2 linked regions of the Drosophila melanogaster genome follow. The protein of the gene in region 2 interacts with the protein of the main gene of each other region in a pairwise test. Each region holds a gene or a part of one and is shown on either strand. Other genes may lie near its edges.

Evidence for each region. The genes of interacting proteins can lie anywhere in the genome.
Region 1: the proteins of CG10589 (region 2) and Phm interact in a two-hybrid assay, tested with the Drosophila melanogaster proteins (one large-scale study listed by BioGRID).

What each region holds. Positions count from the first base shown.
Region 1 is NT_033778.4:23,986,822-23,991,210, reverse strand, and holds the start of Phm (Peptidylglycine-alpha-hydroxylating monooxygenase), read left to right. Parts: upstream 1-2,755; 5' UTR 2,756-2,908; coding exon 2,909-3,097; intron 3,098-3,535; coding exon 3,536-3,593; intron 3,594-3,656; coding exon 3,657-3,744; intron 3,745-3,801; coding exon 3,802-3,874; intron 3,875-3,902; exon of another isoform or gene 3,903-3,927; coding exon of another isoform or gene 3,928-4,389. Other genes in the region: Pask (PAS kinase), read right to left, coding at 1-2,224, 2,293-2,380; CG30178 (uncharacterized protein), read right to left, coding at 3,928-4,389. UniProt on the Drosophila melanogaster protein: Monooxygenase that catalyzes an essential reaction in C-terminal alpha-amidation of peptides. Produces an unstable peptidyl(2-hydroxyglycine) intermediate.
Region 2 is NT_037436.4:20,925,580-20,930,614, forward strand, and holds CG10589 (uncharacterized protein), read left to right. Parts: upstream 1-2,268; 5' UTR 2,269-2,371; coding exon 2,372-3,532; 3' UTR 3,533-3,611; downstream 3,612-5,035. Other genes in the region: fng (fringe), read right to left, coding at 821-1,056, 1,120-1,294, 2,130-2,268.

The sequences.
Region 1 (4,389 bases), on a different chromosome or scaffold from region 2:
TAAAGCGTCACACCAAGGGCCCAAATCTCCAGCTCGGGACCCACGTATCTGTTTCCGGCCAGAACCTCCGGACTGCAGTACTCCGTCGTGCCGTAGAACGTGGAGAAGAATTTTCCCTCCTCCATGAAGGTCGCCGATCCGAAGTCAATCAGCTTTATGGTGAAGTTCTGGTCAATTATAATGTTCTCGTCCTTGATGTCCCGATGCAGTATCTTCTGTTCGTGCAGATAGTTGACGGCATCGGCCACCTGACGAAAAATGTAGCTTCCCAGCTTTTCGTCCATCAGGGGCCGCCGCTCTATGAACGTCCATAGATCCATTCCGGATCCGTGCTTCTCCATGACCAGCTGGTAGAATAGATCATTTTCGAAAACATCGAGAACGGACACAATGTTCTTGTGGTTCAGGGTCTGCAGCAGGTGGATCTCGATAGGAACTTCCTTGCAGTCGCGGCTCTTAACCATAAACTGAGAGCAGAGCTTCTCCTTGAGAATAAACTTGGTGATCACCAGCAGGCGGTCGCTGTTCCGGAAAGCCATATTCACATACCCATAGGCTCCTCTTCCGATCTGGCGGATGGACGTGTAGTATTTGCTGTAGTCGCCCAGGTACAATTCGTCCTCGTACTTGGACACCAAGGACAGAGAATTGGGTCTGCTGGAGTTCTGGGCAGCGGTGGTCTTTATCACCTGGCCCAGCGACTGCTCAACAGTGCTGGCCATGCTGTTGAATGTGGACGTTAGGTTTGCATAGTTGTACTTCTCACCGTCCAGCCGAGTGCTGGGGTTGCGGCACACCCAGATGCAGTACACCCGGTTGGAGCAGGGCAGTATCTGGAGGAGCACGGAGTAGACTACCTCTATGACGGAGCCATCGGCGTGAATGGCCTCCCCCACAAAGCTTCCGTTGATGGAACTAAGCAGTCTGGTGGCGGGATTGCTGCCGGAGGCATCACAGGTCTCCGTGGACGCGGACTTCGCCTTGTCAAGGGACGACTCATTCACCTGCGACTGCGATCCTACCTCAAACTCGTCAGCGGGGAAACTGTTTGAGGCATTTACAGGTGTTAGAATGTCATCTATTGTACAATCATCTGGCTGGCGGAGGTCGCAGAATAGACCACTGCTGTTCTCCAGATTGCAGCTTAGGTGGGCATCGCCCACCGAAGACTGTTCGTTGTTGGGCGCCGTCCTGTTAGTCGAGCTCTTCTTGCAGGATTGCAGCGAGGAGTCGTTGTCCACGACGAGGGGATCCGTGTCCGGCTCCCAGTCGTTACTGGTTATCGAGGTGTTCGAAACATTCGGACTCTTCTCCTCGCGAGAGTCCTTGCCGAAATTGGGTAGGATCGCCGATATATGCATGTTCATTATCTTGTCCTGACCATATCCGAACATTAGCAGCGAGAAAGGCTGGTTGCACATCAGTATGTTGCCTATGTCATCTACCACAATCAGGCCACTAAGATTCTGGAACACCCAGACGGTGATATTTAGACCGGTTTTTCCCGAATGGGAATACCCCGCAGAAGCATCCTCGTCCAGGGCTATTAGCAAGCACAGGGGAAACTTTACGTTATCCGTAGTTCGACCAGTAGCTCTCTGCTTCCGCAGGCTCTTGGGGATCTCACGGCTATCCGGATCGGGCAGCTTTATAAACGGGATAAGGGTGACAATGCTGACACCCACCACGCTTTCGACGGATTCATAAAAGAATATGGTGGCCGTGGTGGAGTCAACGGATGTTATCACTCCGGATCTATCGGTGCTGATGTGGCAAATATGCCTCTCCACAGGCTCCGCGACGGCTATGTGTCGGCCATCGCTGCTGATCTGCCGGATCCAGAGAGAGACCAGGATCTTGCCGCCCGACTTGGTCTTCATCTCGATGACCTTTCCACTTAGCAGGACGACCCGGCCCTCATCGCCTTCGATCTGCATCTCCGCCAGGGAGGAGATGTGGCTCTCTGTCTTGCCGTTAAGCAGGTCGAAGAATCCCTTGTTCCTCAACTCCTGCGACGTGTAGCCCAGCAGCTGGCAGGCCTTGTTGTTCACTATAAAAATTTGCCCTGTGTTCGCGTCGATTGTGAATATCGCCTTGTTCGGGTTGATCACCTTTGAGGAGTGCAGATTGGGGGGGGGCATGCTGAAGGAGCTGGCGTCCATCATGTTCAGCATGCCGGACGAGTTCTGGCGACTCTGACTGTGGCTGCCCATAATGGGGTCATCTGGGAATTACACGATTTTTTGTAAATAATTTAGTACCGCTCTTGAGTGTACATCTATATAGCTTTACCATTAGCACATCGGTTTCTGGAGCACTGGGCATTCGAACTACTCAGCTTACCAGCGGCTTGGTCTGTCACGTCGCCCTGATCCTCCATTTAAGCGTCGTATGTTTTCCAAGTCCCAGCGGTTCCAACTCGAGGCCTACAGCTACAACCAAATGAGCGCACCGTAAACATTGGGAACTCTGCTCGTAGAAAATCAATTGAATGGCGCATGCGAAAAGGGGAATTCCCCAGTGGGTCGAACGGAACGCAGACACGTTGAATTGGGCTGGCTTTTGTGGGGTTTCCTTTTGCGTTGAGGTGTCTTTAAATCACTGTATTCGAAAGGTTGAAAATTACACTTGGTTTTATGTACTTTAATGCGAACAAGTTATATATATTTGAATGTCCCGCTAACCCTTAGCCTGCAGCCCTGGCGCCGTCATCGATATAATGGCTCTGGGTATCGATTGCTGCCTAGAACGCACTTACTTACATATAAACTGGGCCTAGCTACGTGTGGAAAAATATCGGAGAGAGCAATACAAAACGTATTGTTCTTCCAAACAGGAAGGTTTTTTTTCGTTTTCCACAAAGTATTCAGTGCAGTGCACACTCGAATATAGTTCGAATACGGTGAAAATGCCACGCATATCCGAAATAGCCGCTTCCGTGGGGCTGCTCCTGCTTATCGGAGTGATCAGTGTGGATGGCCTTGTGAAAGAGGGGGATTACCAAAACTCCCTTTATCAACAGAATCTCGAGTCGAACTCCGCAACAGGCGCAACGGCTTCGTTTCCATTCCTGATGCCCAACGTTTCGCCCCAGACCGTAAGTCCAGGTTCCTGAAAAACGCCATACATATACATCATGGAGTTCGCTCCATATGGATGAACAGATTCGCCCAGCTGCAGCTGTGCGCATACAATTCCAATCAGATTAGAAAAGTCCTCGATATAGGCTCTGGTTTTTCCCGTATCTTCCGCGCGGGGAAAACCCATAAGAGTACTGTGCAAATTTTTCCATATGTTCAGTTGTACCCGAATACACACAATTCGCCACCCACATGTAAGGCCCTGAAACCGAAACCTGTAGATTGCACTTCTCGAACCTGCGCCGTAGATACGAATTTGTTTTTACGAGGGTGGCGAAAAAGGGCAAACGGCCCACTGAAGGCCATACTCCCATTTGAATAATACTTGTTGACTTATCCAATATGCCTGTTCTCTCTAACAAAACTAACAAATATATATATGTGTACATATATAGCCCGATCTGTACTTGTGCACGCCCATCAAGGTCGACCCAACTACCACCTACTATATTGGTACGTCCTTTCGAATGAGATTCATTCCTTAAATACTTCAACTAACCTTTCTATCTTAAATAGTTGGCTTCAATCCTAATGCCACGATGAACACGGCCCACCATATGCTGCTCTACGGATGCGGAGAGCCCGGAACCTCGAAGACCACCTGGTGAGTTGCAAGTGATGTTTTCAGACTAGTAAATAACACGCACATTTTTGCTCACAGGAACTGTGGCGAGATGAACCGAGCTTCCCAAGAAGAGTCTGCCAGTCCTTGCGGACCCCACTCCAATTCCCAGGTATTAAAAGAAAAAGAAATGTCCAAATAGGCCCCCAGATAGACACCACACATTTATTGGGCCGACAAATTTCGGGGACTCGGGACTACAGTTTGGCAGGCTGCGCAAATGGGTTGACCGTTCTCGATCCAGAATTCCCGTGCGCTGATCCTTTTGCGGCAGTGGTGGCACTTAAAGCACTTGGCATGCCACTTGGTGCTCAGCGCGACCACGGCTCGACGATCGATTGGCTTCTCACAGCCTGCGCAGCGGGACGAAAACAGTTCCCGGAAGTGCGCCTTGCAGAACAGGTATCCGTTGACTTCAAAGAAGCTCGCCGAGACCAGCGACTTGCTGCAGCTCACGCACCGGAAACACTTTTCGTGCCACTTGCGCTCCGCAGCAGCCACGCCGCGCTCTAGGATCGGAGTCCGGCAGGCGGAGCACCGAGCGGCATGCTTGTCCAGATAGCACTCGCTGCAGACCACGTCGTCGTCCACCGCGAAAAACAGTTTAGGATCAACCACCAGGCCGCA
Region 2 (5,035 bases):
GAACCATTATAAGCCATTGTGCCAGTTCATTTATCGCTTGATTGAGCCAGCTTAAGAGAAGTATAGTCATTCACTGGGATTTTTAAACAGAGTCAGCCACTCTTAGAACCATTTTACTGAAAACTTATTTAACTTCAAACAACCATCAACTAAAAGGGATGTTGACATTTCTTGATATTGTTACGTTCCTAATAACATTGAGAAGCGCAGAGGGGGTACTGTACATGTGATATTATTACTTAACTGCCATCAAAGTTCTTTGCAGGACTTTGTCACATTTGTGAAATAATCAATATTCAACACAAATTTTTCAATAAAATATTCTGTTTTATTCAAGCAAACTAAAAATTAACAAAATGGTTTAAACATTGCTTAGTTAATTAATCTACTATATACATGCATATTGCTAGATTAGGCAAACATTAGACTGCATTACAGTATTACACAGCAGAGGGTCAAGCGGTCTCTCTGAATCTAAGATAACTTAAACGTAGACTAGACCATTAATTTAACTACGCACTAAGCCGATTGGAAGAATCGCGTGTAACGCTATAGGGAAGCACTTGGAAGTGTTGGAATTGCAAGACCTACAGCTACAGTATTACTTATACCATTAGGAAGCACATCTGTCCAGCGTATTGCTACATATATATATACAAAGAACCTTTCGTTGCTCGTATACTATAAACTTAATGTTAAATCACAGTGGCGAGATTTGATTTTGACGCCTGCCCCAGCGGTTCACAACCGACCCAGTGCAGACGTGCGCCTGCAACAGCCAAATAGGATCCCCAGGGACCTCGGATCGGGATCAACCAGTTCATCTGGGCGGGCAGAAGCTGAAGTAGGGGAAAAGCTGGCAGTGCAGGGAGTAGAAGCGCTTGGGATCGGTTTTCATATCGAAGCCGTCCACCTTGATCACGTTCCACTGGTTTTTCATGTGGGCATAGCTGAAGGACACCTGGTCCTGGAACGTATCCTGGCGTATGAACTCCATGGGCTCCAAATGCGAGTGGAAGTTGTCCACCACGGTTAGAGGAACTTTCAGAAGGTGTTCTGTATATAAAATAATATATATATAAGTTCAGGGTCACTTTGGCTTACTCCGCACAAACTCACCAATAATAAAACCCATTGTGACATCATCCGGAAAACGTATCTTGTCGCCAATGCTGATAAACTTGCCACCACCTGCTATGGGTAGCATTTTTAAAGTCAGGGCTCGACTGAGGCAGAAGCCAGCGCCGCCAGTGGCGAACCAGAAGGTTATCTTCTTGTTTGTTGTCGTGTTCTTCTGCAGGTCGAAAGAAAGTGGAGAAGAGGGCCAAGATTAACGGAAGAACTGGTTCATGAATGGGTAGCCCAAAAAAAGAGGATGACTAAACCAAAGGCTAAACCCAAATAAATATCCTTTTTTTTATCTTCGTCTTATTTCTGGTTTTTGGCAATGGCCCAGAGAAAATTGACTCGAAATGAAAACCGAAAAAGAAGCTTAATACCGAAACGTGGCTTGATTAATTGACCATGTAAATGGACATGTGCGAGCTGGAAACTTAATACATGGGTCTGGACCAAAAGTAAGCCGAGACTCGACAGGATCTTTCTCCCGCAAATGAAGCGTAAAGTTTGGGGTTTTTAATTATGCACGCTGCAGCGATCAGGGCTGGATTGGTTTGGTGTGCCAGATTTTGAATGGATTTCTGAGCACGCAGTTTACCTGGTTGCTTTTGCTCACATCCCTGGCAAACCTGGCTAAACCGATAAAACTATGGCCTGTACATTCATTACGGGATCAGCTCGCGGTATATCAAATGGATCGGACTGAAAAACGGGTTCAAATTCGGACTCAAACTGGGACTCGTATACAGACTGCTGCTGCTATTGCTATTGCTATTGCTATTGCTGTTACTCTTTTGCCGCGCCAGATCATATCGGTTATTAATGATAGCTTGCGCTGGCAGCTGGAAGCCAAATGGCGGCATAGACAAATGGCCCTGGTGGTAACATAAATAACGGCCACGGTTCGGCTTTTGGGCCGGGCCAGAAGATGGAGAAAGGCGATCGCAGTCAGGCTTGTAATTACGAACTATATAGGAAAATATGCAAAAATAACTGGCATTTGCACTTACGCTGTCCAAGTGGATCTCCAGCGGCGACGAGATGCTCGGCTTGCCCAGATACCAATCCACACTGGGGCTATACTCGTCCAGCAGTTTGACCAGCCTCGGCACATTGACATAGTTGTCATCGTCGAAGTGACAGAACCACCTGGAAAACAGTATCAGAGTTAAACACATTCGAATTCGAGTTCACTCAAACTAAAATTCTTATATTTCTTTTACTATATTTGAACAATTAAAAACGTGCAAAAATGCCAGCTCATTTGGATTTAACCCTAGAGGAAATGACCAGGATTGCTTTGGGTGTGCCCGAGTTAACCCACGTAAATGTGGCTGTACTCCAAAGTCTTTTGAATGTCCTTCTCAAGAAACTGAACTGTCAGAATGATATGGTAAGGATAAGTGGCTTCGAGGGCAAGTGTATGGAGCGCATTCTCGAGCAATCCAAAATATCTCCACTGCCCTTCGACGTGGAGGCTATTGTTCCAATTTCCGAGCAATTGGATAAAGTTCAAGAGTTGGACAAACGCATCAAGCAGCTGGAGTGCAAGTTGGAGTGTCACTTTCAGCAGATTCGCATTTGCAACAAGGCCAAGGACAAGAAGTACAAGATCAACCAGGCCGAACAGTACGCCTCTCCTTGCGAGGATCTGTGCACCGTTTGCGATGAGGACAACAAGATCGCATGCAGTCTGCTGGCCAACATGGACTTCATGAAAAAGCTAATGCGACGTATAGCCACACCCATTCTGGACCGAATGGAAGAGGTCAGCCACAAGCTGGAGAAGTTCTACCTCACACTTGAGGCTTTTCTTAAGCAAACCGAAGCTTTATTTAATCGTTTGGAAATAGTCAAGCAATGTGTGGTGGAGATCGAAGGTCTGAGGACTCTTGTTCAGGAATACAACCTTACTTTTCTGGGAACCATGGAGGAACTGCAGGATATGCTCGACAGCAAGCTGGATAAGGTGCATATGCCTGCTCTTAAGAAGTATATACGCGATCGCTTCGATGATATAGATCGCCGGCTGAGATTGATTGAGGATAAGGATGCATGTCCCAGGGCCGCTGGATTTATCAATACGGGGCTATCTTGTCTATCCTGTAATAGTCCCAAAGTGGGTGTCGACGTCGGTCCTCAAACCATGGGACTATTCCCGGACGCTCCGGTCAGGCACCTGCCTCCCAAGTTAACCGGATCACCGGTAAATTGTCAGAAGATCGTGGTCTGTAGATCTGTGGAGAAGGAACCTACCCTAATGGTGCGAGTAAACAACCTTGATCTGAGTGTCCTCTCCCAACGTCTTGCTCGTCCTGCCTCTGGCAAAGTCTGCAAGTTGCCCGAAGCTAATGACGCCATCTATGGCGTTCGTAATTCCTGTATATCCGGTCAGGACCACTACCCAGTATAACTTACAGCTAGTCGCCATCCAAATCGATTAGTTTCCGCAATAAAGAATACAACTCAAGGCTGTGTCCGTTAAGCCGCATATAAAAAGTGCACTAATTTAGATTGCAATTACCCGGGTTGAAGGTAAGAGCTATGTCTGCAAAGCCCAGAGTGCAGCTGCAGTTTTTATAGTGACAAACGATCAGCCATATCCGGTAGCCCACGGTGGACTAATGATGGCATTAAGCGGCAGCTGAAAGGTCCGCGCTGACCATCATTATCGTAGGCTTCGCTATGGGTGCAGTTCCCCTTTCGTTGAGGGGATCCCCTTAAAGATGATATTGGTAACGCGGGAATTTACTTGGATTCCGCAAAGGGGAGGCTCGATAAAGAGAAATTTATACACTGCAATTCCGGGTAATCAGATTTAGTACGCTTTCTGCTTAAATTTTGGCTGCAATATTGTGGATATCTAGCGGACAGGTATCTGTTAAAATAAGGACTTACATTGAATGGATATTAAGGGTAACTACTAGAAGCTAAAACCAATAAATGGTTCAAAAGAAATGTATATTTCTGTACATGTGTAGAGTATCATCTTCTTCGACTTGCCAAGTACATTTCTGGGGATTCGCGACTTTCGCCGAGCTCGTAAGTATTCAATAAAATCGAATCTTGGAGGATTGGCTGGTCTTGGGTTTCTTGTCGTTGCGTCTGTTGGGTAATTTAATATAATTTTTATTGCATAAGACTAGAGTAGACAAGGAGGTGGAGTTTCGTGTGTATGTGTGTGGTACTCAGATAGTCAGTCGATGCTACTCCCAAAGCCTGGCATTCATAAATTGCCTGGTCGGATGATGTTGCTGCTGTTGTCTACGACTTTGGCTGCTGTTGCGGCTGCCACATGCGATACCTGTGCGAAAAGGCCGCAACTCCCCGAGTTTTAACAACCTCTTTACCCCTCCTACATCTACGACTCGCCCACCCCAACCCTTAGTTTCTACGTGAGGCATAAAAATGCGCGTTTAATTTGCTTAATTATGCACAAAGCACAGCCCCTCCGTTTTTTAGTTCCCCCTCTTTTTAGTTTTTCATAGGCAGCTGCTTTCCCTGCTTCCAAATTGAAATCTAGACGCTGGTTTATGTTCGATGTCGTTTAATTAACGCCAGTCCCCCTCTTTGATTTCATTGGCATTTATGAAAATGTTTTCATTCGGTGGTTCTTTCGATTCGGGTTATCAATTAGGGGATCGCTGATGGTGGCTTTTCTCCGATTCTCCGTGTCGAACACTGTTTGTTTATTTTGGGTTTGTCCGCTCTCTGTTTCTTTGTTTCTCACTGCATCGGATTGCACTAAAATGCACTGAGGGAAAATAATATGTTTCACAGAAACTGTCATTACTTGTGAGGCTTGTAGGCTTTTAAATAAACGCAATTGATTGATAAACGAACTAAAAGTTTTCATATCCCTTGAACTTAAGTCTTTAATATTAACCACAATAATCATTTATTTATTATTATTTAT